4 linked regions of the Tamandua tetradactyla genome follow. The protein of the gene in region 4 interacts with the protein of the main gene of each other region in a pairwise test. Links are inferred from orthologs where the notes say so. Each region holds a gene or a part of one and is shown on either strand. Other genes may lie near its edges.

Evidence for each region.
Region 1: the proteins of NUP62 (region 4) and CRCT1 interact in binary tests that used the Homo sapiens proteins (3 or more experiments, as listed by UniProt). The two-hybrid records come from large-scale screens. The link is inferred for Tamandua tetradactyla from reciprocal best matches to the Homo sapiens genes NUP62 and CRCT1.
Region 2: the proteins of NUP62 (region 4) and CCDC121 interact in binary tests that used the Homo sapiens proteins (3 or more experiments, as listed by UniProt). The two-hybrid records come from large-scale screens. The link is inferred for Tamandua tetradactyla from reciprocal best matches to the Homo sapiens genes NUP62 and CCDC121.
Region 3: the proteins of NUP62 (region 4) and ISCU interact in binary tests that used the Homo sapiens proteins (3 or more experiments, as listed by UniProt). The two-hybrid records come from large-scale screens. The link is inferred for Tamandua tetradactyla from reciprocal best matches to the Homo sapiens genes NUP62 and ISCU.

What each region holds. Positions count from the first base shown.
Region 1 is NC_135330.1:2,671,521-2,678,215, reverse strand, and holds CRCT1 (cysteine-rich C-terminal protein 1), read left to right. Parts: upstream 1-4,726; 5' UTR 4,727-4,789; intron 4,790-5,565; 5' UTR 5,566-5,579; coding exon 5,580-5,861; 3' UTR 5,862-6,188; downstream 6,189-6,695. Other genes in the region: late cornified envelope protein 1E-like, read left to right, coding at 445-558, 1,723-2,142.
Region 2 is NC_135329.1:11,550,347-11,558,336, forward strand, and holds the start of CCDC121 (coiled-coil domain-containing protein 121), read right to left. Parts: upstream 3,003-7,990; 5' UTR 2,818-3,002; coding exon 2,486-2,817; exon of another isoform or gene 2,079-2,485; coding exon 1,151-2,078; 3' UTR 1-1,150. Other genes in the region: GPN1 (GPN-loop GTPase 1), read left to right, coding at 3,097-3,207, 3,882-3,975, 5,373-5,412, 6,733-6,799, 7,558-7,595.
Region 3 is NC_135331.1:22,830,536-22,837,626, forward strand, and holds the start of ISCU (iron-sulfur cluster assembly enzyme ISCU), read right to left. Parts: upstream 3,017-7,091; 5' UTR 2,894-3,016; coding exon 2,780-2,893; intron 450-2,779; coding exon 336-449; intron 1-335. Other genes in the region: SART3 (spliceosome associated factor 3, U4/U6 recycling protein), read left to right, coding at 4,290-4,604.
Region 4 is NC_135342.1:11,235,531-11,242,621, reverse strand, and holds the start of NUP62 (nuclear pore glycoprotein p62), read right to left. Parts: upstream 3,018-7,091; 5' UTR 2,916-3,017; exon of another isoform or gene 2,729-2,915; intron 2,105-2,728; exon of another isoform or gene 2,033-2,104; intron 1-2,032. Other genes in the region: ATF5 (cyclic AMP-dependent transcription factor ATF-5), read left to right, coding at 4,302-4,479, 5,673-6,337. UniProt on the Homo sapiens protein: Essential component of the nuclear pore complex. The N-terminal is probably involved in nucleocytoplasmic transport.

The sequences.
Region 1 (6,695 bases), on a different chromosome or scaffold from region 4:
TCTCTGTAAACATTTTAAACTAACAATGCCAGGCACTAAGAACTGTATACATTTTATCTCATTTAGCAGTCCAGGAATTGCTATTACCAGGTTTTTATAGTGGTGAGTAAGCAGCTTTCCTGAGACAGGCTGAGAGCAGCGAGTGAAGCTGGGAGCTGATCCCAGGCAGTCTCTGTGCACCTGGAATTATAATGAAGCTATAATGCTTCTCATCACAGCCCATTTAGCACAGCCTGGAGCCGAGACCTTGTACATTTCCCCCAGCTGTGTTTTTCTCACTGCGTTTTTCCCTGTGAATATGCCATATGTTGGCTGCTTTTTCAGCTAAATAGACTATGGTGACTCTCCTTGGGGCCTAACTTGCCTTCAGGATATTCTTTGTAGGGCAAATAAGCTTTAGATTCCGTGGTGGACTTGAACATCCCATGTGCGACTTCCCCACTCATGTCTGAAGAAGAGTCTCCTCCTGAAGGCAGTGATGCACAGGGGGTCTTCCCAGGTGGACGCGCCCTCCTTGGGGATGGCCGGAACGGATGCCTCACTTCTGGCAACTTCCAGGTGAGCCTGGTTCCTCTGCTCCTCCCTCGATGTCCATCCCGTTCCCACACCTCACCCTGGACCACGGGCGTCTCCTCTGGGGCCACAGGTGGGGAGAGAAGACATGACAAGGTTTCTCCTGTCCTCCCAGAGGGCCTGTCAGTGTAGGGTCAGTTCTGCTGGTGAGTTCTCCCGCTGGGTCCGGCTGAGGTTAAGGAGAGACACCCAACTGCCCACACCCCCTGCGTCAGACCTACTTAAACACATTGCTGAGATATCAAGCATTCTCGGTCCAGGTTATGACACCATCTAAGAATGAAAAGTCAAATTAGATGGTTGGCTTGGGCCTCGGTTTTTTTTTTTTTTTTTTTTTTTTTTTATCTCTATCCTTATTCTAAAAAGGACCATCTAATTTCCATGTTGGGATTCCTTCTCATCGTTCACCCTCATTTCCTATGCCAAAGACAGAAGAGACCTTCTCTCCATGTGAGGGGTGTAGAACCTCCTGGCCTAGCTCAGGGAAACAGGGAGCACAGCAGAGCTGCCTGTGAAATTGATAGCTGCTGGGTGCAATCCACAAAGCTCCCTCACTGCCTAGAGCCTGCAATGCTCAGGACATCTTCCTGAGGATTAATCCGTGAGATGCTTTCTGAGGGAGGAATTGGATCCCTGCAATGTGAGGGAAAAGTAGTCACCCAAGTCCCTTGTGAAAGATGATGTTTGCTGCTCGCACGTGATTTGGGCCTCCTGATGCCAGCTCAGGGCTCACTCTGTATAAAAGGCTGAGACGACCAGCAGCACCTCAGTCCACTTGCCTCCCGCGACACCTGCTCCAGCACCTGAGCAGGTAAAGCACATTTCAGGCACCACGACGGACTCCCGGTGATGGTGTCTGGCTCAGGGAGAAGCCCTGGGTGGAGAATGAGGCTAGCCTTGAAGAAAGGCAAAGAACAAAAGGGATGACAGAAGCTAGGTGAAGGGGAAAATGGTTGGTGTCTTTTTGAAGTTGCAGGGAATTCATTTAAAAAATATGGAGTTCCTCGGTTGAAGCCATTTGTAAAGAAAATTCTTGTAACTGATTTGGGGACATTTCAGTTTTGAGGTTGAAATCATATTTCAATTTTGCATATGGAAGTAAGTCACCTTTAGCTAGTTGAACTTTAAAACTTCTGATTTGTCTTTCAGTTTTGTTCAACTTCCACTGAGATGTCCTGCCAGCAGAGTCAGCAGCAGTGCCAGCCCCCTCCCAAGTGCCAAACTCCTAAATGCCCCCCAAAATGCCCTCCTAAGTGCCCCCCCAAAGCTCCAGTCTCCTCCTGCTGCAGTGTCAGCTCTGGGGGCTGCTGTGGTCCCAGCTCGGGGGGCTGCTGTGGCCCCAGCTCGGGGGGCTGCTGTGGCTCCAGCTCTGGCGGTGGGGGCTGCTGTGCCTCCAGCTCTGGCGGTGGGGGCTGCTGTGCCTCCAGCTCTGGCGGTGGGGGCTGCTGCCTGAGCCACCACCGGCCCCGCCGATCTCTTCGACGCCGGCACCAGAGCTCCAGCTGCTGTGGCAGTGGTCAGCAGTCAGGGGGCTCTGGCTGCTGCCCCGGGTCTGGGGGCTGCTGCTGACCTGGACCGTGAGAACATAATGGACCAGACTCGGACGAACCGAAGTGCCAAGGGTCTGCCCCAGCCTGAGGCGTCTCTTCTCCCCTTTCCCCACAGAAGGACTTCTGAAAGGCCTTGAGTTTCCCTCTTCCTCCTGCATGTGTTCATTCCGCTATTATGTCCAGAGGTTTAACCCCTGATATTCACTGGCCCGATATCCCCTCTCAGACACAGTTCTGTTGAGCAGTTGGTGTTGGAGTTGAGTTATGAAGCTATTTTCTCTGTAACAATAAAGCTTTTATTCCTGATGCCACTGCCTCTTGATTATATTTTGTTTGCCTCTCCCACTCCCCATTCCTTGCCTCAGGCCATCTTTCTTCTACTCTAAAGGGCAAGTGAACACTTAAATAATGTGCTTGGGAAGCAGAGCAGGGCATTTAAATACTTAGCCTCCTGGGAAATGATATTTCCTTTGTGCTCTGAATGTGGAGCTTTAAGCTTGAAGGAAGAAGCACATCTGAGACCACTAGGCTTGGCACAGGCAGCCCACGAAGAGACTCGGGGAGGATGGCGGTACCAGAAAGGTCACAGGCTGAGAAGAAATCATCAGCAACAGTGTCCTTCAGGCCATGGGCCATCGCTTAAAAGAACTCTTTATCTCTAATCGCAGGGAATAAGATAATCTGAAGTGCTCCAGCTGGGCTGCAGTGAATGGGCACCATTTACTTTTCTGATTAGTATCATCTCAGGGGCTGCCTTCAGCTGGCCGAAGAGGAGACTCGGGGAGGTTCTGGGGAGTGAGTTTCGGAGGCAAGTATGAAATGCCTCTACGCATTTTCGCTGCATCTGGAGATCCTGGGTTTGGATTTGAGTAGAGAGCCAAGAAGGCAACCCCTCTGCCGAGACAAAGGCTGCCTCCTTCTAGTTGGCACGTGTGTGAGTGTGTGGGTGTGGGTGTGTTTGTGTGTGAGTGTGGTGTGTTTGTGTGTGAGTGTGTGGCTGTGTGTGTGTGAGTGTGGTGTGTTTGTGTGTGAGTGTATGTGTGTGGCTGTGCGTTTGTGTGTGGGTGTGGGTGGTGTGTGAGTGTGTGTGTGTGTGTGAGTAGAGGGTGAATGTGGAAGTGGGGGGCTTTGGTTATTGTGTTGGGTTTTACAGGTTAACATTTCTTTAGCAATGGGCTGATTCCTTCAGGAGATACTCAGAACGTTTTTGAGAAGAAAGAGAGCTCCAAACCAGTCTTCTAAATACAAGGTGAACACTTAGTCCCTTCTTTGATAAGAGTCCACACTGATAAGTAAAGTGAGTTACTATATGAGGCCATAATAAATCCAAATAATGGACATGTAATTGCCCAAGTATCTCCTCATATCAATGTTTATCAAACCTTCATATTTCACTCCTTTTTTCTCTAACCTTGCATAGTTCCATAGAGGTGATCCTGCCTCCATTTTTGTTACTTCATTACTTCCTCTTCTTTTTTAATATTGACTGCACCTATTGCAATATCTCACCTCTACTCACCAATAACTGTCCCTAGGTAAACATAACCTACTCATAAAGCTCTAAAGCCATGTTAAATGAAATTGTTATCTTTTGTGATTTAGCTTTTCTTGTCCTTTCACCCAAAATCTCTCTCAGACTATTGAATCTTGAATTCTTCATCCTGAACTTCTCTCATATCTCACATTCATGGTTGAGTCTCTTTTAAAAAGATAATTACTAAAAGCACCACTTGTCATGGATGCTGGGCCTTTGAAAATGACTTCTTTTTCTTTACTTTTCTCCTCCTACTCCCTCTTCTTCCTTCTTTTTCTCCTCTTCCTTCTCCTGTCCCTGTCTCTTTCCCTCTCTTTTTTCTTATAGGGAAGTGGCCCCAGGGAGACCTTATCTCCAAAGGGAGATAAGGAGAGGGATGGATGGTGACCAGCCGAGTTCCATGGGCTAGCTTGGGCCTCTGCAATTGGGCCAACATCAGCACACAGTTTTATCCCAGGGATATGGCAAACTACGTTCACAACCTTTTTTTTTTTTGCTAGGATTTTTCTTCCTCCCGTCTCCAGGGGCAGGAAGAAATCCCCACTGGGGTTTCCATAGCACATCACCTCCACCATCTTTCTCAACTCTGTCTGCAAGCATCCCAGCCGGTGGCCTACCCTGAGGAGCCCAGGACTCAGAACCAGAGAGATGGGAACCAAAGGTGGCAAGCCAGTCAACTGCCAACAACCAAGTAGATGCTTGCACACAGGGATGGGTGGGCAGTCAAGGGCACTGTGTGTTTGTGCTAGCATGCGGGCTTGCCGGTAACCTGGAAAGGGGCAGGGAGAATGGGCCTGCAGACCTCTCCTGGTCCCCATGCCTTCGCGTAGTAGGCACACAGCCCTTCAGCCACCAGTGGTGCCCTGTTTGGAAAGCAAACATACCACAAGCAATCCTGGCACCTCTGTGCTCTGACTTGGAGGCTCACGTGTACAACTTAAGGGAGCTACCTGCGTGATGAATCTCTGACCTGTGTCAGCTGAGCGTGTCTATTGAGAAATAGGTCCCTCCCAAATTGCCTCATGATGATGTATAAAAGGTACCCCGGCTGGACACTGCTCAGTCCACTGCCTAGGAGGCGACCTTTTCCAGCTGAGGAGCTGAGTGAGCCTTCCCACTGTGCCAGGGTCTGGTGAGTTTCCAGGTCGGGTTTGGGAGAGGAGTTGGGAAGGGTCGAAAGCGGAGGGGAGGAGAAGGCAGCAGGGTACAGATGTGGACAGAGAGTCCTGGGAGGTGCCTTCAGCCTCAAGCAAGCCAACCTCTCAGGGAACCCCGGCGGACAGGGGCCCCGGACTGGGCTGGGCGTGTGTGTGACTTTGCAAGTCTGGAGTGGAGTGTAGCTAGGGGCCGGGTCTCGCTCTCAGCACAGGAATATTCCCTACTCGGCACCACTCTGCTTGTCCTTGTGGTTGTGGGGTGGCAGGGATGGGAGAGAAAGGATAACCACAACCGTTTCTGGTGTGTGTGAATCTTTAGGCCCCGGCTGCAGGGATGCACAGGTGATTCAGTGTTTTCTAACTGATGGCATTTATACTTTACTAATGATTGTGAGGATATAGCTTGACGGTCTGTGAAACGTGGCACAGGGAAAGGGCCAAAAGAAGATTCTGGAGTGGATCCTACAGATAAATTGCCACAATATCCTCTTTAATTTCCACTGTGGAGAAAGATGATCTCTGTTCAAGTTAGAGGAGACGGGAAGCCATTGATTCATTGCCTAGTTCCTCCTCTACCCAGATTTAAATCACTGGAAACATGTTTGGGATGCGTTTGCGTCCCTTTCTATCTTTCTCGGCTTCCCTCCCTGGGTCCTCTTTCTTTCTCAGGCCAGGCTTGCTTGCGCATTGAGCCGGACTCTGCAAAGGCCCGCGAGGTCTGCCCCTGTCTGAAACGCGGCCTTTCTTCCAGGTCGGCCGTCCGCGATGTCCTCCCAGCAGAGCGCAGCTGCCGCCAAAGGCTTCTCCAAGGGGGCTTCCCAGGGCCCCGCCGCGTGCCCCGCCCCGGTGCCCGCCGCCCCCTCCTCCAGCTGCTGCGGCTGCTGCCCGAGCTCCAGCTGCTGCGGGGACTCAGGCTGCTGCGGGGACGCCCCCACCGGCTGCTGCTGCTTCCCGCGGAGGCGCCGCCGGCAGCGCGGGCGCGGCTGCTGCTGCTGCGGGGGCAGCCAGCGGTCCCAGAGCTCCGGGTGCTGCGCCAGCGGCTGCTGACAGCCGGCCGGGCAGAGCTGGAGCCGCCCTGCACCTGCCGCTCCCACCAGCCGCTCCCACCTGCTGCTCCCACCTGCTGCTCCCACCAGTAACCACGGCCCCGCGGGGCCGAGCATCGGACTGTGCCCGCCAAGATTAACGGCACTTTGCGGCTCAAACACGCGCCTTGTTCTCAGCCTTGATGCCATGGAGACCTGACAGTGGTGGGTAGTTCACAGACCGCTACTACCTTTCCGGGTTTGCACACAGCAGGTGCTCCATAAATGCTTACTGATTTCATTGTCCTTTGAAGACGTGTCATAATAAAGCTTCTACCTCCAAACAACACCTCCATTAGAATTTATTCCTTCGTGTGTGTCTCGATTTATCTTGCTCTGTTGTCCTATACAGTACCTCTCATTGGCTCTGATGGAAAGGCTTGGAATATCTGTGAAAGGCAGAAAACTGAAATTCGTGACTGAACAAGAACGTGGCTCTCTGGTAGTCAATTATGATAGCAGCCATCACGTATGGAACCAGCGTCCTACGGCTGTTACGTGACAGGCATTATCGCATTTAATTCCTATAATGACTCAGTGAGTGGGCGCTGCTCTTTCCATTTTATAGATGAGAAACTGAGGATAAAGAACTTGCTCAAAGCCACCCAGTTGATGCCTGATGGAGAGACTGGATGCCTGACTCCAGAGCTAATTATGCTCCCAACTGCACTGCTTGGTCCCCCCTAAAGTTTCCAGAGTCCCTGACGAAGGCATCCGTCCTCCTGCCCCCACTCCACACAGCTGCCTGGGAAAGGTCTGTGTTTCCTACTCTTGTGGACGTTGGAATCAGGAGAAC
Region 2 (7,990 bases), on a different chromosome or scaffold from region 4:
AAATATGGGATTTTATTACTGAACTAGGACTCAACATTGAAATAAATCACTGGTCTAACCATTAGTGTCATAGATGCAAAAAAAAAATACAACCACTCTAAAAACCTAAAAGTAGTATCACCAATTCTAAACATAGGACATAAATATATGGCATACATTGATTATAAAGTGATGTGTAGTACAAAAATAGAATAAATGACTTAAAACTAAAATATTTATTATCCTTAAGTACTTCTACCTGTCATCTTGGAATTTAGAATGCTGCTAGGGAAATAGGATGACAACGGATGACACAAGCCTCCTTAAAAAATTGTCCAAATATTTTTAAACTTTTGATATGTTTTCCTGAAACAAGCAGAGGCATTCATTAACCCCACTGATGCTCCAAGTGTTTCTGATGCTCCAAGTGTTTCTGATGCTCCAAGTGTTTCTTCGCAGAAAACATTTTTAAAAGAGTAACTAACCTATTTTATGGCCCCTTCAACTTCTCAGTTTATTCAAAGCTAAAATTGTAAGGGCTTAGCATCAAACCAAAGGTTATTCTGCCAAGCACTTATTGGACTTGCTGTTGTCAGAATACTTTGCACTTAATGAGAAAACTATAGAAGATCTACCTCGTCACTGGCAAAAATTTTAATAAGAATTGATAATGCACTTTTGACGTTGCTGAGAATGCCAAAAGGAATGAGGATACATCGATATAAATTATTTACAAAGCAGAAAGCTATCCTTAAAGGTGCTTGCTCTGGCCTTAAAGGTGCTAGTTCTAGAAAGAACTCTTAAGTTAGCAAAATGAAATGAATCACACATCTGTTTTCGTCTAACCTCTTCAAGTTGGCTTTCTTGAGTTAGTTTGAAGTATGGGTGTTTGGTAAGTGGTTAGTGTTAAGTTAGGGTCAGGTATTTTAGTTAACGTGGAGGTTTGTGGAACACCCTGTTTACTAGCAAGAGTTAATTAAATGAAGAGGGAGTTAAGGGATGCTGGTCACACAAACATCATGGAGGACCGCTGAAAATAAGCACCCTATCTTTTCATCCCAGCACACCATGAAAGGTATTTAACCATAGCAATGGATTCCCAAACCTTCCCAACCTGGTTAGTTTAACACCTGAGAGAACTTGCTTTAGCGCTTACTTAAGCAGTGTTAGTTTAGGAAATATTTTGGTTAATCTTTGGAGCATCCTGTCCTTGTAGGCACCAATTATGCCTTCTTTGCATTCGTTGTCGCCCCCGAATTAAACATTCCAGATACCACTGTTCTTGCTGCAGCTGCTGCTTCCTGTATTTTAACTGGCTTTGAGAAGCCTCCAACTCCTGGCATTGCTGAAGGAGCTGCAGTATTTTCTTCTGTAACTGTTGGCTCTCTCTGTTAATGCCACGGTAAAATTCAAGAGTATACTGCTTTGTGGTCCACTCCAAGGCCTGGTTTTTCCTCTTAACCTCCCTTTTATTTTTCTTTCCCAACTGCCTTACGTCTGGCTCGCTCAATTGTTTCTCCAGTAATGCTTTTTCTTGGAGCAACTGGGTCTTTGTTTCCTCTATCTTTGCAGTTGCCTTGGTTTCGGCTTTCTTTTTTGCATTCTGTAATGTCTGCACTTCTGCCTCCTGTTTTTCCTTTGTTATAGAAATGCCCCTCATTGCTTCCAACTGCTGCTTCAAATTGAATTGGATCTTTTCTTTCTGCAAGAGCTCTGCTTTAAGTACTGAAATCTGTTTTGCGTATTTGGAGGCTGATTCTTGCCTATGTCTTTCAATCTCCCCACTTTTTTGTAAAAAGTTGTTCCACAGCTTCTTAGGTTGCCTTTTATATTCCTCAGTTTTGTTGGTCAGGTATTCCAGAAAGAATTTGTTTTCAGCCTGGACAAGTGTCTTTTCAGTGTATAGATGCCTGTTGTCTGCCAGGAGCTGTTCCTGCTGGATTTGAGCTTGTTTTATTTGCTCCTTCAACTCCTTTACTTCCACCACTGTCTTCTCTTTAAGTATCATCTCAGCCTTTATTAGATTCTCTTCTTTGGAAAAACCATTTTTTAAACCAAGATAAGGTCTTGAAGAAGGCCTTCTGGGACTTTCAGCAAACCTGAAGGAGGAACAAGTGAGACAATCCCCCATCAATTCTTAATGGACATTTAGGAAATAATTTTTTTTAAACGCACATTTGTACTTTAATTCATACAAGAAAGTAATTTTGAGCACCGCTTTGTGTTCTGGACACTGGAAAGCAAGGGGAATACGACTACGTGTAAAGATGAGGTACAGTATTTTTCGGTTTACAATACTGGATCATTACAACCCTGGGAGGTTATTAATTTTAAAGATGAGAAAACAGGTTCAGATTATTTGCCCAGCAAGTGGCAAAGCCTGGGTGTGGAACCCGGAACTCACTGAACACTTTGAGAGCCACCGAAACTGGCTTGGGTAAGGTCTGAGTAGGAATAATTTTTCTCGGCTCTTGCGTCACCTTTCCCGAGCCCCCTCTGAACTCACTCGTGCCAGGAATACACGCGTTCATCCCCAGGGTGATGGTAATTGTGTAGTTTACTGAAGGCGATAGCCGAGAGGCGGGCGCTAGTGTCAGGGGCCTGCGACAAGCCGGGACGGCATCCAAATGCAGAAAGTTTTCGCAGTTTCTCTGTTTTGTGCTCGGTGTGTCTCGGCGATGCCCAGCAACTCCTATAGTCGCTTCCCGCCCCAATCTGGCTCCGTGCCACCGTGAGTTGTTTAACCTCTGCGGTTACCGAAGAAGCCCTGGCAGCCAGTCCTCTCGCAGCTCTGCTCTCGGCTTCTTGGGGGCCGAAAGTGAAACCCACTCTCCTCATTTTCCTACTGCGGGAGCCCTGCCCTCGGGCTCCCGTCTCCTCTCGCCCTCCTGGGAACCAGGCTTTCCACCTTTTCCTGGCCCCTGCGGCACGCCTTTTGGTCTCCTAGCGGCCCCACTTCCCCACTGTCACCAGTTGGCGCCCCAGCCGGTCCCGCCCCTGCATGCCCTTCTCTTCCGGGCCCAGTCGGCTTTACGTCCATTCGCAGCCCAGAGCGTCGCGCAAGTCTCTCTAGCCTCTCATCGTCTCTATCGTCGGGCAGGCGGAGCTAGTAGGAAAATGGCGGCCCCCGCAGCTGCAGCTGAGGCTCAGGCGTCAGGTGGCCCGCATCCTCCAGTCTGTCTGTTAGTGTTGGGAATGGCAGGATCTGGGAAAACCACCTTTGTACAGGTAAGTATACGGCGCGGGTGTAGTAACATGTATGCGAGAGGTTGTCCGTGGCGGGCCAAAGTCTCAGGGAGAAAGGGAGTTTTCTGGGGAGTTGGAGGTAGCGACGCGTGGCTTTGGGGGACTTCTCAGCCTAAGTGACTTGCTCCACGAAGTCTTATCGGAATTTAGCCTCGGTCAGTTAAGGCTCTCTTTTGTATACCCTCAATGCTCAATACATACTTGGTACAACTTACCAAGTTATTCCCGATAAAATTGTGAAGTTCTCGTAGGTAGGGATTTTACTGGCAGCTCTAGCGATTAACAGGTTCTCGGAGATTTGTTCAGGAATTATTTATTGCCCACTACCTTGTTCCAGGAACTGGGGATACGGTGAAAATGAGGTTGACGAAGTTCCTGCTTTCATGGAACTAATGTTTTTATATTTTGGTGGGGGAGTCAGAAAAACCCACTCCCGTACACAGAGAACAAGTGCTAGAGAGCACGGGAGGCTCTTGTATGGATAGAAAAAGACAGCATTTGGACTGCGAGCTGAATGTTGGAGGTGAGCATCTGGGCGGATGTTTCATGTAGACGGAAATGAAAGTGCAAAAATGCCTTTAGGCATGGTCGATAAATGACTGGAATTTTTCTCATCCCCTTATATCTTCTTCCACCTCCCCTCCCCATGTCTGCAGAGGCTCACAGGACATCTGCATAGCCAAGGCTCTCCACCTTATGTGATCAACCTGGACCCAGCGGTGCATGAAGTCCCTTTTCCTGCCAATATTGGTGAGTGAACCATGGAAGAACTTGTGTGAAATGCCTTAAAGGGACTGGAAAGCCTGAGCCTTGCTTTCTTCAGTGCCTTCATTTTTTATCTTCTCTTAACTATCTACTTTCATTTCCCTTGGAGTCACTGGAGTTCCTGTCCAGGCTTCTTCTTTATTCATGTTTTTTTGTTGTTGTTTATTTTTTGCCTTTCCTGCATTTCTTTACCTCCTTCCCACTCACCTTTATCACTTCTCTTTCTGACTCTAGTGTGCCAGGCTATTTTAATTTGGGAAAATGAAGTGATGTAAAGTCAGTCTTTTCACTTCTAGACTATAAACCTTTCAGCAGATTCTGATGCATAAATATTTTCTATTTAGTGTCTCAAAGTTTAGTTAGAACGTAAGTGTTCTTATGCTTCAGTTCACTTGCTGATCTATAGGAATCTTGCTCCCACTCCCCTAAATGTGTGTGTGTGTGTGTATGTGTATATATATATATGTATAAAGCTCTGGGAAGAGTTTCTTAATTTTCCTGTGATTCTAAGAAGAGTCTGTGATTCCAAAAAAGGTTAAGAATGAATTTAGTCCTGTGTCCTGATTCTTGATAGGATCTAGACTTTGATTTCTAGGCCATTGCTGTGTGCAAATCCTATTCCTCCTTATCTCTTCTTAATCCTGAGTAAGCTTTGTGTACTCCACACATATTAATGAAAGGAATACTGGATTAAGAAGCAAGATAATTCTGGGAAGAGTGAAAAAAACTGCCCATCTCATTTTAAGGATGAAGTTCTAATAGTTGATAGGGGAAGTCTATAGACTGCTGGATGGGTTTAATTAGATATTACTGGACATATTAAATCTTATTAAAAAATCATGTCTTCGTTGTCTTTGTCACTAGTAGATAATTAGAAGGAAATCATCTGTTTTTTTTCCCCTTGATCTAGCACTCTTTTTCTGTGCCTATGGCCACTAATATGATATTTAAGTCATACAAAATTTTTTACCTTGTCTCATCTCTACCATGCAGTTTGAGAGCTCCTTTACTAACATTATTTATAGATTACGTGGCAGTTATCCTTTGTATGGAAGGAAACCAATGTGAGGGTGAAGAAATTGGAGAAAGCCAACAAAAAAAGCCTAGAAATCTAGTTTCAGTTTCTTACTGGTACGAAAGTTGCTGCCAGGGTACCTTTTGCGCTTCTGTTCTTTTTCCTCATGGTCCTGCTTCTTTTCTTATCTCAATTCAGTGTTCTTATTTAACAGTTTACATAAATGATATGAAAAGTAACTCAGATACTTAATTTTTCCTCAGAGGAAGCAGAGATGACTTTTTCTGACTGTCAGTTTAGGATATTATAGGAGGGTCTCAAACTATATTTTTCTTACGTGTTAAATTTCAGTTAATTTTCCCTCCAGATATTCGTGACACTGTGAAGTATAAAGAAGTCATGAAACAGTATCCTTTTCTATGTCTGCTTTGATGTTGACTTGTCCCAGATCCATTATTTTCTGTATATTTTATGACTTTGTAAAGAATATTTTTACCTTTCCTTCTGAAACACAGGCGCAAAATCATTAGATTGTTTTAAAGTGATTTTATTAGGAGGAGATAGTAGATGGGTGTGGGAGAAGTATTATAGATGATCAAGATAATAATTTTAGCTTGTGATTTCAGTTTTCTTACCATCTTCCCAGATTGCTCGCCATTGTAATGAGAGAGCAGTGAAAATGAGAGACTAGCTGACTGCCTGCCCTGGATCCTACCAGGTAGCATTGCACTAGAAGGTACACCCCATTTGATCACCACTTCTCCTGACTGGGAAATTCAGAAATCAGTAGGCTTGGTAGGATTCACTCTTAGTACATTGCTGTATGAAATGTTCTCTCTCCCTGTGGGTTATTCTAGGTAAGAAGACTAATTGTAACCAGCAAGTTGCTTGATTAGTCAGAATCAGAGTAAGAAATGTTATAAAGATGATTGTTTTGGTTTGCTAAAGCTGTTGGAATGTAATATACCAGAAATAGGTTGGCCTTTACACTTGGGATTTATTAACTTACAATTTACAATTCTTAGGCTGTGAAAATGTCCAGCTCAAGACATCAACAGGATAACACCGGGACACGGAAGGCCAGCTGCCAGTATCCAGTACACCTCTGTCACATAAGAAGGCACATGGTGCCCAGGTCCTTCGATGTAGAGTTTTGTTGCCTTCAACTTTTGGTTTCCTTCCTCAGCTTCTGTGTCTTTTTCTGTGTGCTTCTCTGAATTCCTTCTATTAGCTTTCCTGACTTTTCCCTCTTTTATTCTCTCAAAAAAGAACTCCAGTAAAAGGATTAAGACCCACCCTAGGGCAGACCTCATCTGGAATAATCTAATCAAAAAGTCCTGCCCACAGTAGGACTGCACCTACAGGAATGGATGAACAGAACATGGCCTTTTCTGAAATACATGACAGCTCCAAACTGCCACCGTAGTGGCTAATGCTAACAGGCTGTCACTGCCTGGTGCTTCTGTCCATTGCATTTTTGTCACTTTGGTATTTTCATTTTGCTTGGCCAACACTAAAGGTGATAAATGAACAAAGGACCATGATAGTGAATGATTCCCTGTGAGGTTAAGATTGTATGGTACATAACTAGTTATTGGATTGTATTGCGAATATCCATTAATGGCACACTAATGCCATAATATTGTTTTTGTGACTGATAACTTGAGTATGGACTTTATAATCTAAATTGATATGTAAACAATTTGAATCCTTAACCTAGTGTGTAGGTATGGACTTGGGCCCAATGGTGGCATTGTGACCTCACTCAATCTCTTTGCTACCAGGTTTGATCAGGTATGTGTCTGTTCATATGGACATGGCTTTGCAAAAACTTGTGACTCTTAAATGACTTCATTTGAGCATAGTGGGAAAGAAGAAACATAAACCTGAGTATAACTGTAGATAATATGTGGGCATTTTATTAGGCAAATAAGTTTATGGGAGTATTATGTGTTTTCGTCAGTATTATGTGACAGCCAGTAGAACAAAAATAACAAAAAATCTGGGTTCACTTTTTAATCTGTTCCTCATTTGTTGTATTATCCTAATTGTGGATGGAGGAAGAGGGGAGTGGGATGGCTTAACAGGCACAGAATGGAAGAATAATGGGGCTTTTCACTAGCATCAAGTATTTTTCATCCTTTAGAGTTACTCTGTCACCTACTTCCATAGGAATTTTTTCTTTTTTGGCATGGTCAGGCTCCAGGAATTGAACCCCGGTCTCTGGCACAGCAGGCGAGAATTCTGCCACTGTGCCACTGGTGCTCTGCCCAGGAATATTTTCTAATTATTAAATTGTTACCCTTATATTACTCCATGATGACATGTACCAAAATGCCAAAGACTATCACTTGACAGTGACAGATGAAGTCTTGAGCTTTTCAAGTCCTTGCACCATGTCCCAGGGTGTTGTTTCAGTGCTGCTGATGGGGATGTGTTTCTTCAGAGCAACTTTTACTGAGAAGTGAGATTCAAGTAGCTCATGGTATCCTGTGAGGTGTGGCACCCTGCATCTTGAAATCTGATCCTGTTATTACGTCTTTTTCTTTTAGGTGATGAAATTTATCGAGAAGGCCCAGAACTTGTCTAAGTGAGTGGTTTCAGTTTAATGATTATTGACTACTCTATTCAATATGTTCCTAAGCTTTTTGGAGGATTTTGGGAAGCCATCAAACTCTGAAGGGTTAAGACTCAGATTAATCAATTAAGAGTCAAAAAATGTGGGCAAAAAAATCACCAAGATGCTATAAAATGTAGAGTTAAATTTCCTGTTATCAATTTAAAAATGGTCAAAATAGAAAATATTTATTCTTATTACCCATAATTAACTTAATGTTTGCTTTTTAAAAAAGAAATATGGTTAGGACGGGCGATGGTGGTGCAGTGGCAGAGTTCTCTCCTGCCATGCCAGAGACCTGGGTTCAGCTCCCAGTTTAAAAAAAAAAAAAGGTTAATTGTTTTTGTAATAAAGGATATGTATGTGCT
Region 3 (7,091 bases), on a different chromosome or scaffold from region 4:
CATTTCTTGCCCTATTGGATTGGGGCTTGCTAACCAAATAGTTGTGGTTTTCCTTTGATGAGTAAAATTCAAAAAACTTTTTACATAGCTGCAGCTGAAATTAAGAGTACAAAGGTGAGTTTGGTTTACTATTTCAGAAAAGGTCAGACATACAAACAGAGGAACTAAGATTCAGTCTCTGCTCTAATCATTTATAACATCAACTTGTGCCATCTCGCAGGAATAAAAATGGAGACCAAATGAAACGCTGTGTGTGCAGATGATTTTTAAACTGCAAAGCACTGTAAAAACAAAGGGATTACGTTATTACCTTTAAGGATGAAAACCAGCCATACCTGTAATTTCATTACATCACCGCAAGCTGGAGCCCCCACTAAGCCAGTACCAACATTTTTAGATGTCTTGTCAAGGGACCCCACATTTCTAGGATTTTCATAATGATCAACAACCTGAAATGAGAGGGTTAAGAGAATCATTATCACTCTTTTTCTTTTTGATTATGACATACTTTATGTAACTAATCCCTTGTTCTTTCTTTTAATTGTGAAAAGTAACATATATACAAAAAAGCAATAAATTTCAAAGCACACTGCAACAATTAGTTATAGAATAGATTTTAGAGTTTGGTATGGGTTGAAGTTCCACAGTTTTAAGTTTTTCCTTTTAGCTGCTCTAAGGCATTGGAGACTAAAAGAAATATCAGTATAGTGATTCAGCAGTCTGGCTCACTTAGTAAGTCCTATCTTCTCTGTTATAATTCCACATTCTCCTTTGATCTTTCTCCCAATCTTTAGGGGTATTTGAGCTATGCATATTCTGACTTTTTCATGTTGGAAAGGGCTGTAAATAATGTGGGTTGGGGGATGGAATTAGTTGATGATCTGGAGAGGCTGGCCCCTCTGCTTTCAGGATCATCTGGCCTAGGAACCCATCTGGAGGTTGTAGGTTTCTGGAAAGTAATCATAGTACATGGTACCTTTGTAGAATCTTATATAATGCTTTAGGTGTTCTTTAGGGTGGGCAGGAATGGTTTGGTTGGGGATTGGCAAACTATAATAAATAGCAATATCTAGCTGTGGCTTGGGTAAGAGTAGACTCCAGAGTAGTCTCTTGACTCTATTTGAACTCTCTGAGCCACTGATACCTTATTTGTTACAATTCTTTCCCCCCTTTTGGTCAGGATGGCACTGTTGATCCCATGGTGCTAGGGCCAGGCTCATCCCTGGGGATCACTCTTGATACTGGTCTCCTCGACATGAATTTAAGTTCCAGGAGGTAGGGAATTGAATCTTACTAATCCGTGTTCCCTCAAAGACTGGCACAAGGCCTGCAACCTGGCAGTCAACCTGTAAAAATACCAGTCTACACTCATGTCAACAAGGCTTTATTCATGACCCAAAGTCTTTTCGTATTTCCACTCCTATCTTCAGATTCTGTTTGAGATACTGGAGAAAAATCACCTAAATCATGTCTTGGTTTCATTAAGATTTTGTTTGTTTTGGCATGGGTAGGCACTGGGAATCAAACCCAGGTCTCCAGCATGGCAGGTGAGAACTCTGCCTGTTGAGCCACGGTAACCCACTCTCCATTAAGGTTTTTAATCACAAATGATTACTTCAACTTGTACCCATCCAAGTCATCAATTTAGGTTCAAGCAGCATTTTTGTTATTTCAAAATAAAATCCACTCTTAAAGGATAATGATTACAATTAGAAAATTCTAAAGTAACTATGTTTCAGAAATTGAAGTCCTTTCCAGAAGTTTCCACGTGACTTGTAGACACTCTGAAATCAGGCTGGTTAAACAGTGCACCCTGGTGGCTGAAAAGCTTTTAGCTTTAAATTCACTGAGTGTACTGTCAAAAAACACTGGTGTGTGTGCGGTGTGATAATCCTGAGCTGTGGGCAAATATGCAGAAACCAGACTAAATGTCCATTCAAACTGGCAAACAGAAGGCTTAAATAACGGTTAAGTGTCTTGATCTTCTTGTTTTCTTCCCTCTTCTATCCTTCCACGGATTTTAACATTAAGCCCAAGGACCCACAAAATAATATCTAATTTGGATATTGCCATATGTTGAATGCCAGCAATCTTTGCTTTTTTATCCCAATCCCAAGTGAAAGTCTCATCTCTAAGATACCTTAAACTCCCAGAAGGCAGGGCTGCAAACTTCGCAGCCCCCGGCCCCAAACCCAAAACGTAACAAAAACAAAAACATGATTATTGGTGACACGTCTGACTCCAACAGGAGGCTGTGTGCTCCAAAAAGGCAGAAACCAGTACTTCCATAAGGCCTACCTGAGATAATTTTACTACAACAGCAGCATTAATAGTTTTTATATGTTGAGCCTAAGAGCCAGACACCACACCGAGCACGTCACAAGCATCATCTCTTGTAAGAGGGGACTGCTAAGACCTCTATCTTATGAGTGTGGAAACTGAGGTTCAGCGAGGGGCAGTGACTCGCCCAAGGTCACTTAGCTAGGGCAGTGGTCTGGCTAAAGTGGATCCCTAGCGGTGGGGTGTAGCCCACCCGGGCTGCTGGGAAGTTTAAAGGCGCACTAAACAGCAGTCAGCTGCGAGGCCCACAGGAAGTAGCCGCTATTGTAAGCGTTATTATTTTGGTTTGTATTGCGGTTAGTGTTACTGCGCAGCGAGGAAAAGTTAGTCGAGACAGAAGACGGGAGAGGGGACGACCCCCCCACCGTCCCCTCTCCGTTCCTCACACTTACACTCCCCGGCCGGTGCGGGCCCTGTGCACCCCTTTACTCGTTCCTACCTTCTTGTGATAAAGCCGGGCCGGGGCGGACAGCTCCCGGGCGGGCAGGCGCTTGCTCTGCAGTAGCAAGGCCGACGTAGCCCGTCGTAGACGGCCAGCTCCGGCCGCCGCCATGTTGCGGGGACGCCCCTAACGCAAGCCCACACCGAGTCTGAAGCTGCGAAGCGCGCCGCCTACTTGACTCGGGACTTCGGATCCAAGGACGCGTCGCTTTACGTCCCGGCATCTTCGCGCTTGCGCACTTCCAATCCGCCCAGTCTGTTCTTTGGCTCTACCTTGGCCACGCCCCCCCAAGGGGCGGGGCGGGGCGCGGGAAGGTCTGAAGTTACTATAAGATCTTGTTTTTCGTGTTGGGTTCTGGATGCAGGAACGGGTTTAAGGTTTGAACGCTGTGCCCAAGCTTGAGCTGGCTAAGCTCACCGCTGGAATGCACAGATCACCCGATCCACTTTTCCTAACCTATTTTGCAGCCAAACAAGTTGAGGTTCAGAGAGGTTTAGTAACTCGCTCAAAGAGTTAGGTATACAGTTGGGATTCCAGCAAAGACAGTCCTGGGTTAGAATTCTGGTTCTGCGTCTTCCTGTCTCTGTGACTCTAAGCGAATGATATCAGGTCTTTATGATTTGGTCATCTGTTCTGATTTAAGGGGAATTTTTTCATCCACTCAGCACATACGTGTTGACTACGTACGTTAAGTCTCCATACCAGGCTTTGGGAATGCAACGAAAAGCAAAACATGTTTGCTCAAGACAATAAACAAGGAAACACGTCAATACTTTACTACCTCAAAAATGGGAAGTTTAATTAGAGAAACGAACACCATGCCCTGATTAAAAAAAAGCATGTATACATATATATAATATATAGTCTCCATATAGAAAATAACCGCAAACAACAAAATGTATATGGTAATCCCAGGCAACTGAGTTTCTCAATTAATGCTTGGTATTAACTTTTATTTTAATTAATATTTTAGATGTGCAGAATATGATTTTTTAAAACTAGACTCAGGAGTATTCGCATTACGTAAAGGGGAAGAATCGTTTCGGGCAATGCATTTTTCTCACGAGTAGCGCAGTCTATCCTTCCCGGAGGACGTGGAGTTTTCTCCGCGTTTGGGGCTCGGTTGCTGGGGAGACTAAACAACGAGCCATATCAGACCTTACTTTTAGTAAGGTCTCCGTTCCAAGAATTACTTTGACCTTCTCAAGATGGCGCCACAACCTCATTGCTCCCCCCCCACTTCCTGTCCAAACATCCAACTTCTGTCCGAAGTTGTAACGAAAGTCATGTTATATTAATGAGACTTTTCTGTGATGGGAGCTTTTATAAGTACATAAAAATAGTATTAATTGAGCGTATCTCGAGATTTTTCTGTCACTCGAGGCTCACAGCTTTCCTTTCGATCGCGAGAGAGCAGGGTTTTGGTCAGGCGCACGCCGCGGGCAGCTTCTACTTCCGTCGGTCTTCGGCGGCGGAGCGAAGACCCGAGAATTATCCGAGGCACAAAATGGCGACGGCGGCTGCAACCTCGGCTTCAGAATCGGAGGCTGAGCTCAAGGCTGGGCCCGAGGCTGAGGGAGAGGAGGATGAGGCTAAGGCGACGAGGACGAGGAGGAAGGTGTTATCTCGGGCTGTGGCCGCTGCGACATACAAGACCATGGGGCCAGAGTGGGATCAGCAGGAGGAAGGCGTGAGTGAGAGCGATGGAGACGAGGAATACGCCATGGCTTCCTCAGCCGAGAGCTCCCCCGGGGAGTACGAGTGGGAGTACGACGAAGAGGAGGAGAAGAACCAGCTGGAAATCGAGCGGCTGGAGGAGCAGGTGTGCTCGGGGGTGGGCAGCGGGCTCTTTCCCTCAGGTACCCGGGTCCGGGCTCGCCCCTCGTCCGACTGCGCTTGCTCGGGTACCTCTCCCGTCCGCAGCAGTAATGCCCCCAAGGCCGCAGTAACTCTTTTTCAGTCACCGTAGCGCCATCGTTTGAGCATTACCTGCGTGTGGGGCGCTTTCTAAGCGTATTCCATTAAATCCTAACAACGACCCAGTGAAGGAAATAGTGTATTCTCGTTTTAACTGGAGGAAACTGAGGCTTGTGGAGGGAAGTCTCTTGCTCAAGATTTCATGTCCTACAGGTGGCCAGTCAGGCTTTGAACGCTGAACCAACACCAGAACTCTCATTCTTAACCACACAGTTAAATTGCGTTCAACAGCAACAATAAATCTCATTTGTAAGAGAGAATAATTTTCCTGTAGGAAGGACAGCATTAATGAAATATGATGTAGTAGGAAAAATATTCACGGTAATCATGACAACAGAAATGGGAAGGTAGAAGTTTTGGCTCTCAAGGCTAAAGGCGCCAGTTCCGGCTATCATTTGGGCGATTTTCTTAAATTCTCTGAGTCTTTGCTTCCTGAATTGTAAATAGGGAGTGGCAATTTCTGTATCTTAGCATTGCCATGACAGTTATGATAGCCGAGTGCCTGGCAGCCAATGTCAACCAGATTGCTAATTTCTGAAGAGTCTTGGGAGGTGTAGGTGGTATTATCTCCTGTATAAATCAAGTCTCAGCAGGAAATAGATGGTACACTCAAGTTAGGATAATTTGAGGAAAGGTTGATAAAGGGACGGTTGCATTTATAAAAGTGTGGACCGGGAAATCAGGAGCAAAGTTTAGTACCATTTAATAATAGGAGGACTTTGTTTCCACCTTTAGACTTGAAGGGGCAAGGGGAGTGACATGTAGAAGAGATGGGTAGAGAGGGAACCTGAGAGGATTTGAGACCTTTGGTCAAGAGATGCAGCCTCAGTTTCCCGGCAGGAGTTGGGGTAGGGGAAGAAATACCCTGGCCTCCTTCTCCCTTGTCTCTCTCTCTCCTCCCTGTGAAAGTCTGCTGGGTGCTTCCTGCTGGGCAAACTCACCTGATTATTAGAGGGCTAGGGAATCTGTTAATGTGGTCAGCACAGGGCAGGGCAGAGGAGAGGGTGGATGAATTTGGAGGAAGAAACAGAAGAGATAGAGCACATTTCATTTTACTGATGAGGAAACAGAGGCTCAGAACAAATGATAAAGTGAGTTACTATTCAGAAGCTTTCAAAGTAGCCTCTGGATCAAATGCAACACTAGATGTGAAATCTCTCTGTGATATGAAGATTATTAACCTAGATTACTCATTTAATCTTATGGAGTGTAAGGTTAATGATAATTTTCCCTCTGGCATTGATATTTTTATGTTATGAAACAGTGATATTCTTTGGTTATCTTCTTCCACTTATCATTGCATCTCATTGTCAAAGGAACCAACCAGAGGTTAGAAGGCAGTTAACAATTTTCCTTTTTATAAATAAATATGCTGCAGTTTATTCAGTCTTTTATTCATTCAGCAAATACAGTGTGATTCTGGGTGCTAGGCTGACTGTTTCCCTGCCTACATTGAAATAATTTCTTCAAACTTCTAGTTCTGGGCCTTTTGATGAGCCAGCTCACTTTGACCTTACTGTTACATGAGGATCACCTGTTTTAGTAGGAAGGGAAGGCTTGGAATGGATATGAAGCCCTTGATCGTGCACAGTTTTACTAATGGGGAGGAGGGGTCAGAGTGAAGGTATGCTGGCAGTGGATGCTGTGCAGTTGCCTGCCTGACTTATATCTTTAGTTCACCTAGGTTGGTATGGAGCTTAGAAAGTGTCCACACAGTATGCGACCTTGTAAGTGATAGTGAGCTAAGGGTCTTTGGCCTTATCCTCTTTATCTTGGGCTTTAAAAATTTATTTTTCCAATATTTGCATACCTCCTTCCCACATCATTGTAATCCCACAGCCTCTAGTTCCTCCTGTAACTGCCCTTATAGTAGAGCATAATGACAAGTAACTTCCAAATAGGGCGGTGCAGATCTTGGCCTTGCCACATCTGCGTATTCCAGTTTTCGTTCTTGAGTTTATTTTATGCAGGCTTGTGATTTGCTGTGATATCTGTTCATGTAACAAAAACAAAGACTTTATATTAGTTGTGTTTTTGGGCTGAAACTAAAAGTAGCACCTCCTCGTGCCTTAAGCACATTTGTCAGTGTACCATGGTGCAGCACAAAGAGTATAGCTTTGCAAACTATACTCAAATCAGGTGATCCACTTACTAGTCAGAAGACCTTGGACAAGTTATTTCAAGTCTCTGAGCCTATTTTATCCCAGTTGGTAAAAAGGAGATTGTAGTAATGCCTCTCACAGGGCTTTAATGGGGGTTAAGTGACACAATGCATGTAAAATTGCCCAGTTTGGCTCTGCTATGCATAGTAGCTGCTATACAAAGGTTGGTT
Region 4 (7,091 bases):
TCCTCAGCAGCCCCACCCATGCTTCCAACTCCAATCTCAGGAGTTGAAGGAGCTGGGGCACCTGCACCCTGAAAGGCTGTGGGAGACTGGGGGAGGCTGAGGCATTTGAGTCCTGGAGAGGCCAGAACCTGGGTCAGGCATGGATATGGGACAAGGCACAGGGTGCCAGCTGCAGATGACTGCCTGTGAACTAGAATCTATTGGCAGGCCTGGGCAGCCCAGAGCACCCAGCACCCACTTGGCAAAACCCAGTGATGCTGCCTAGGTGGGCCAGTCTGTGCCAGGGCTGAATTAGGTAGGCTCCAACAGCCAGAGTGAAAAGGGCATGGGGGCTAGGACCAAGAAGATGACTTTTCAGACAGTACATCACATACAATCAGCAATATGATTCCCAAACCGAGCTAGTTTCTTTTCAGTTAGTAAAGATACCCTCCCTGGCCACCTGCTCAAAACCCCACAATGTCAGTTTAACCATGAGACAAACTCATACTGAGGGACATTCCCTAAAATACCCAAAGGCCAGGACTGTTCAAGAGTACATGAGAACATTTTCTATCTTTGCAATTTTTCTGTAAATCTTAAAATTATTCTAAAGTAAAAAGTTTATCTAAAAAATAATCTATGACCCTACTCAGAAGACAATTCTGGGAGGTTACTGTAGGAAAGGGACAGAGGGAGGAAACAGATTCTGCTAGGGAAGGGGCCAGATGGCAGGAGAAGAGTGAAACTAGTGTCTAGGAGCCAGATCCTGCCAGCAGCAGCAGGTTTCCCAGTAAGGGTGGCAGCCTCATCAATCTGGTGGTCTGGGCGGCACCTCCTCACTGACCGCAGTGAGTCCAACTGTCTAGCATTAACCCCTACCACCTGCTGTCACTGAGTTATAGTGAGAAGTGGAAGTTTGTCCTTAAGCCTCCAGAAACTGGTGAAGGGCTAGTTTTGAAACTTTAACTCCTGCAACTGGAGCTTCAACAATCCTAACCACCACCCCTAACAGTGCCAACCAGCAGCCAGGCACAAGTCCAAATGTTTGACATGGACTAACTTACTTAATCCTCATGACAGCCCTAAGAGATGGGTACTATTACTGGGCACAGAGTAAACAGAGGCACAGGGAAATAAGTGTAACTGCCCAGGTCACACAGCTAGTGAGTGGAGCACAGCCAGCTGTGCACCCAGATCACCTGGTGTCAGAGCCTGTGCTGATAACCACTACCGTACCCTGTCTAGGTCATAATGTAGCTCCAAAGGGCCCAGCTATGGGGCAAGTGCTCAGTACTGGCCCAGTGGATGGACACCAAGAGGGTAAGGGGTCAGATCCAAGAAGGACTTCCCACATGTAACAATGAAGGAAGAGAGGGGATTTCTTAACTCCCAGACACTCTCAAAATCAAAGTTCCCACACATTTTTTGGGCCTCGATTCAGTGTCTTCACTGTCCCAGGTGGGATGAGGGTTGGGGGTGCAGGTGTGGTTCAGTGGTAGAATGTCTGTTTGCCTGCCATGCAGAAGACCTGGTTCGATTCCTAACCCATGTACCCACAAATAGAAGGGATGAGGGCTGAACTCCAAGTGAAACATTCTGATGTGGATGGATGCAAGGTGGGAAAGAGGGTTTCTGCAGCAGAGGAAAGATCTACATCCAACCAGGGCTGGTGGAGGGTCCAATGTATGGGGGTGGGGGAAGAATAGTTAGGAGGCTGCTTTCTTTCACTAAATGGAATCATAAATCTCCCCATTTTTTGGCAGGGTTGAGTTCCTCACACAGTGAGTGGCAGCTTAGGCAAAGGACAATTTGAAACAAAGTTTGGGTGAGAGGCAGAAGCAGAGAATAACACACGCGGTGGAGTCAGAGTATAGAGGACAAGGACTGAGGGACTGTGGATGTTGGCAGGTGGGCAGAGGTGAACAGAGGGTGGAAAAAGGATGAAGTGGGGGTAACAATGCCAAAATCCCTGCACGGGGGTGGGCTGAACACCCACCCTTTGGAATGGGGGAGGGTGGTGATAGCTGGAAATTACATAAGAGGAACCTACCAGCAAATCTTGGTCAAGTATCTGGGGCTCTGCCAGGAGGGGAAGACAACGTGATACTGAGTCCCAACGTTCCTATTAATAAGAAGACAGGGTTACCAGATGAGTACAAGCTGGGCTGTGCTTCATGGACACTGTCATTTTAATTCTCAAACAACCCCACCAAATAGAGGGTATAATTCTCATTTTATAGATAGCGACAAGAGGTCCACAGACCTTATTTGCTCAAGATCACCAGGCAGGTGATTCGAAAAGAGCACCGTCTGACCCCGGGGTCCCGCAGAAGTAACCCACAAGGATCCTCACGGAGGCACGGGCAGAGACTCCGGTGCGGCTGGCCGGAAGTTCTTTCGTGAAGCAGGGGAAGGCGAGAGACACGTGAAGGCCTGAGGGAAGCTGAGGGGGATGGGGTCGGGCCCCAGACCCTGGGGTCAAAGGAAGGAGGAGAAAGGGGTCTGTGCTCCCGGGTCAGAATCCCTAGAGTCAGAGGAGGGAAGGGGTCGGAATCCCGGGTCAGACGGAAGAGAGGACCACAGCACCGCAGGGTTAGTGAGAGGAGGGCGCCAGGCACCCGAGTCAGGGAGAAGACTGGGCCCCAGAGTGAGAGGAGAAAAGGGCCCAAACTCCGGGTCACAGAGACGAGGGGGCCGGGCCCGCCTCCCTGCCAGGGCCCGTCGGGGCCCGCAGGGGCGGAGCGCGGAAGGATCCGGCAGAGCCGTGCTGCGCCACCCCCGCTATATCTGTCCCGGGTCCCCGGGGCCGCCTCATTCCCTATCCTCGGATCACGGTCTCCCTTCACGCCAGCGCGACGCCACCACCCGCGCAGTCCCGGCCATGGCCCTGTAGCCGCGAATCCTCCCTGCCCCCCGGTCATCTCCGCGCTCACCGCGCCTGCGCCTTCCGCTCCCGCTTCTTTCTTCAGCCGAGGCTACCGCCGCCTCTCCTTGCCGCCGCCATGGAGTGAGTAACCGCTCGCCCCTCCCTCTCCAACCGCCCTTCCCGCCCTTTCACAGCGCGCGGCCTTCTCACCGGGGCCGGGGGGTGGGGAGCCGGGAGCGTGGACTCTAGGTCGCGCAGGCGCAGGAGGGAGAGGCCGCGGTCGGCGGCGCGCGGCCGAGCATGCGCACTCGGTCCGGGGTGGGGAAGGGCCCTTCCCGCGAGGGTGTTTGTGCCTGAGTCTGGCCCGTGGGCCGAGGCGCCTGCGCACTAGCCCTCAGAAAGGGTGGGTTTTATTTTTTTCGGAAACGATCCTGTCCGTGCGCGGCCGCTCATGCCCACCAGAGCCAGTATTCGCGTAGGGCGGAGGCTTGAGGGAGCGATCACGCGCTTTAGCTCTCGAGGAGGCAGGCGCGTGCGGAGGGGTATGGGGTAGGGAGCCGTTCTCTGCTCCCTCCTTCAACGTGTCCCTTCCACCTTGCGCGGGCGCACTGCCCAGCTTCCCTCTCCAAGCACCTGCTGGGCCTGGCATAGATTGACGGTGTGGGGGCGGGGTTTAGAGGCCACCCTCTAGGAGAGGGGGTGGGGCTAGGGCCACAGCAGTAGCGAGGGGCGGGGCTTGTGAAGCCTATTGTGAGATGAGGCGGGATCCACAGAGAATTGTCAGGGAGGGGTGGAACTAAAGTAGATGGAGAGGAGCAGGACTTTGGGGGCATCGTGGGAGTCACCGCACAGTTTAAAGTAATGACGGTGATAATTCAGTGGAGAACACTGATGAAGAGGCAAAGCATGGGAGAATTCCCCTGGGAACTGATTTTAGAAGGAATGGATTTCGAGAGGGGGTGGGATCTAAAGGAAATAATTTAGGGACAGGGTGTGGCTGGAAGGAAATTCCCCTGGGATTGGATTTTTTTTTTTTTTTATTAAAGAGGAGTATCATGGGGTGAATGGGAAAGGTGTAAGGAAATTCCGCTGGGAGGACACTACATTCTCTATTAGAAGAAGGGGTGGAGCTTGGGAGAAAAGTAGGCTGGGCCCAAGGACAATTCCCTTGGGAGTAGGTGGGGCTCTAAGATTGTTGGGAAAAAAGAGCAGGTTTGGAATTCTGAGAGGAGGGTCTCCGTGGCAATGGGGGTGTAGCTTAGGGGCGGTCCTGTGCCTTTGCCCAGTGGGTGGAGCTGGCCTCTGACCCCACCCCTTTTGCTTCCCACCTGCAGATCCTCTACTTTGGCCTTGCTGCCTGTCTCCGCCCATCCGAGCATCCTCTTGAGCCTCCTCCCAGCAGTTGGTGCTGCAACCTCCCTTGCCATTGGTGCCCGGCGCCTGTGCTGCAGCCATGTCACTCCTGGCGACCCTGGGTCTGGAGCTGGACAGGGCCCTGCTCCCAGCTAGCGGGCTGGGCTGGCTCGTAGACTATGGGAAACTCCCCCTGGCCCCTGCCCCCCTGGGCCCCTATGAGGTCCTTGGGGGAGCCCTGGAGGGCGGGATTCCAGGGGGGGGAGAGCCCCTGACAGGTAAGGATAGATGAAGAGTGGAGGTAGGGTGAGATGGGGAGGTGGGGGACAAAGGGGAAGGAAGAACTCATTCATTCATTCACTCATTCATTCAGTAAATATTTATTGAGTACCTACAATGTGCCAGGCACTGTTTTAGGTGCTGAGTATACAGCTGGGAAGAAAGACTGGCGTGATCCCTGCCTTTCTGGAGCTCACATTCTAGTGGAGACAGACAAGAGACAAGTTAAATGGGGTGGGGTTTGGGGCACCCATGGTGAGACGGCTAAGTGGGCCCTTAGCAGCTAAGCTAGAACATGACAAAGGGGACCTAGTTTAGCCAGGAAGGCTTCTCCAAGTAGATAATATTTAGGCTGAGGCCTAAAGGATGGGAAGGAATGAACCATGAAAAGCCCAAGGGAAGAGCATTTCAGGTGGAAGAAAGAGAGTATGCAGAGTCCTTGAGGCAGCAGTTATTTTATGCATTACTGTATCCCAAACACTTGGCACATAGTGGGTTTTCAATAATTAATGAACTAAAGATGAAATAAGGTGCGTGTGTGATGCATTTCACTTTGTATTTGAAGAACAAGCTAGAGAGAGAGTGAATCAGAAAAACCACAGATGTAATCAATAAAGAAGATGTTGGAATGGTTGAAGAAATGCTTGGTCCACTAGTTGGTTGGATGGTTGACTGGTTGGGTAGTTGGGTGGATGGCTGAATGGCTCTTTGATGGATAAGTTGATTGTTTCCTTAGGTGGTTGATGAATTGGCTGACTTGTTCCTTGGTTGGTTGGTTGACTGGTTGGTTGGTTGGTTGGTTGGAAGGGTTGACTGGTTCACTGCTTGGTTGATTAGTTGGTTGCTTGGTTGGTTGGAAGGGTTGACTGGTTCACTGCTTGGTTGATTAGTTGGTTGCTTGGTTGGTTGGAAGGGTTGACTGGTTCACTGCTTGGTTGATTAGTTGGTTGCTTGGTTGGTTGGAAGGGGTGACTGGTTCACTGCTTGGTTGATTAGTTGGTTGCTTGGTTCATTGGTTCCTTGGCAGGTTTGTTGGTTTACTGACTGGTTTGAGGATTCATTGATTGGTTTGTTGAGTGGTTAGCCGTTTTACTGATGAATGGGGCCTGAATGAGGCAGAGATGAGTGAGCACCAATTGAATGGAGGCCCAGGAACTCAGCGAATTTTTATGTCCCCCCTCTAATCCCCTAGGTGACGGCTTCTCAGACTGGATGACTGAACGGGTTGACTTTACAGCCCTCCTCCCTCTGGAGCCCCCCCTCCCCCCAGGCACCCTTGCCCCACCTTCCCCGCCCCCACCTGACCTGGAAGCCATGGCCACTCTCCTCAAGAAGGAGCTAGAACAGATGGAGGACTTCTTCCTTGATGCCCCACTCCTCCCTCCCCCATCCCCACCCCCACCCCCACCCCCACCCCCGCTGCCACCAGCCCCTTCCCTCCCTCTCCCCCTCCCCCCCTTTGACCTTCCCCAGCCCCCTGCCCTGGATACCCTCGACTTGCTGGCCATCTACTGCCGCAGTGAGGCCGGGCAGGGTGAGGTGGGCTTGACATCCCTGCCCCCACCCCAGCAGCCCCCACCCCCTCCGCCCTCTCGCCCTGCTCCCTACCCCAACCCTGCCACCGCCCGAGGGGACCGCAAGCAAAAGAAGAGAGACCAGAACAAGTCAGCAGCTCTGAGGTACCGCCAGCGGAAGCGGGCAGAGGGCGAGGCCCTAGAGGGCGAGTGCCAGGGGCTGGAGGCCCGGAACCGGGAGCTGAGGGAGAGGGCGGAGTCGGTGGAGCGGGAGATCCAGTATGTGAAAGATCTGCTCATCGAGGTATACAAGGCTCGGAGCCAGAGGGCCCGCCGCAGCTAGAGCTGGGGGGGGGGGCCTGGGGGGTGCCAGGGGGGCCTCAGGGTAGGGGGGCCTCCCTCCGCCTTCCGCCTGCCTTCCCTGCCCCTACCACCTCTCTGCTGGGAGCCTTGTCTCAGAATCCTGCACTGTTTGGCCTTAATTATCTTCACTCCTTGAGTAAGAACCGAGAAACCTAGGCCCACAGGGAACCGAGCAGCAGAGCTGAGCTTAGAAAGCTGGTCTCTTGAATTGCAGAGCTGGGATTAATTGCACGTGGTTCTTGGCGAGGGTGATAGGGTGTTGGAACAGGACAGGGGCAGGCCCAGGCAGCACTGCAGAGTTACTATGAGGACTTTTAAGAGTGGGACCCATTTGATGTGAGCAAAAATGCAAGCCGCGCGGCCTTGGGGAGTCACATGGTGGTGGTGGGGTGGGTGGAAAAAGGTGGCCAAGTTGACAGAGCAGGTGGATATACAGGCAAATGGGGAGGAAGGAGCAGGGTGGAGGGTGGCCATAGATGGTGACTGGGGTGTTCATTTTAGCTCTGGGAAGAAATCAGTGTTTTGTGAAGGTGCTGGGAGGAGGTGGGACCTACATCTAGGGGAGGGAGGGCAGGGGCTGATGCTGTGGGAAATAAATTGAAGAGTTTCCTCTGGCTTGTGTGTCTTTATTTGTGAAAGGTGAGGTTGGGGAGAGGACAGGTTTAGGAGAAAGACAATAAGAATAAAAATAATATTTATTGTCAGGCATACAGCCTTTGATAAGGTGAGGTCAG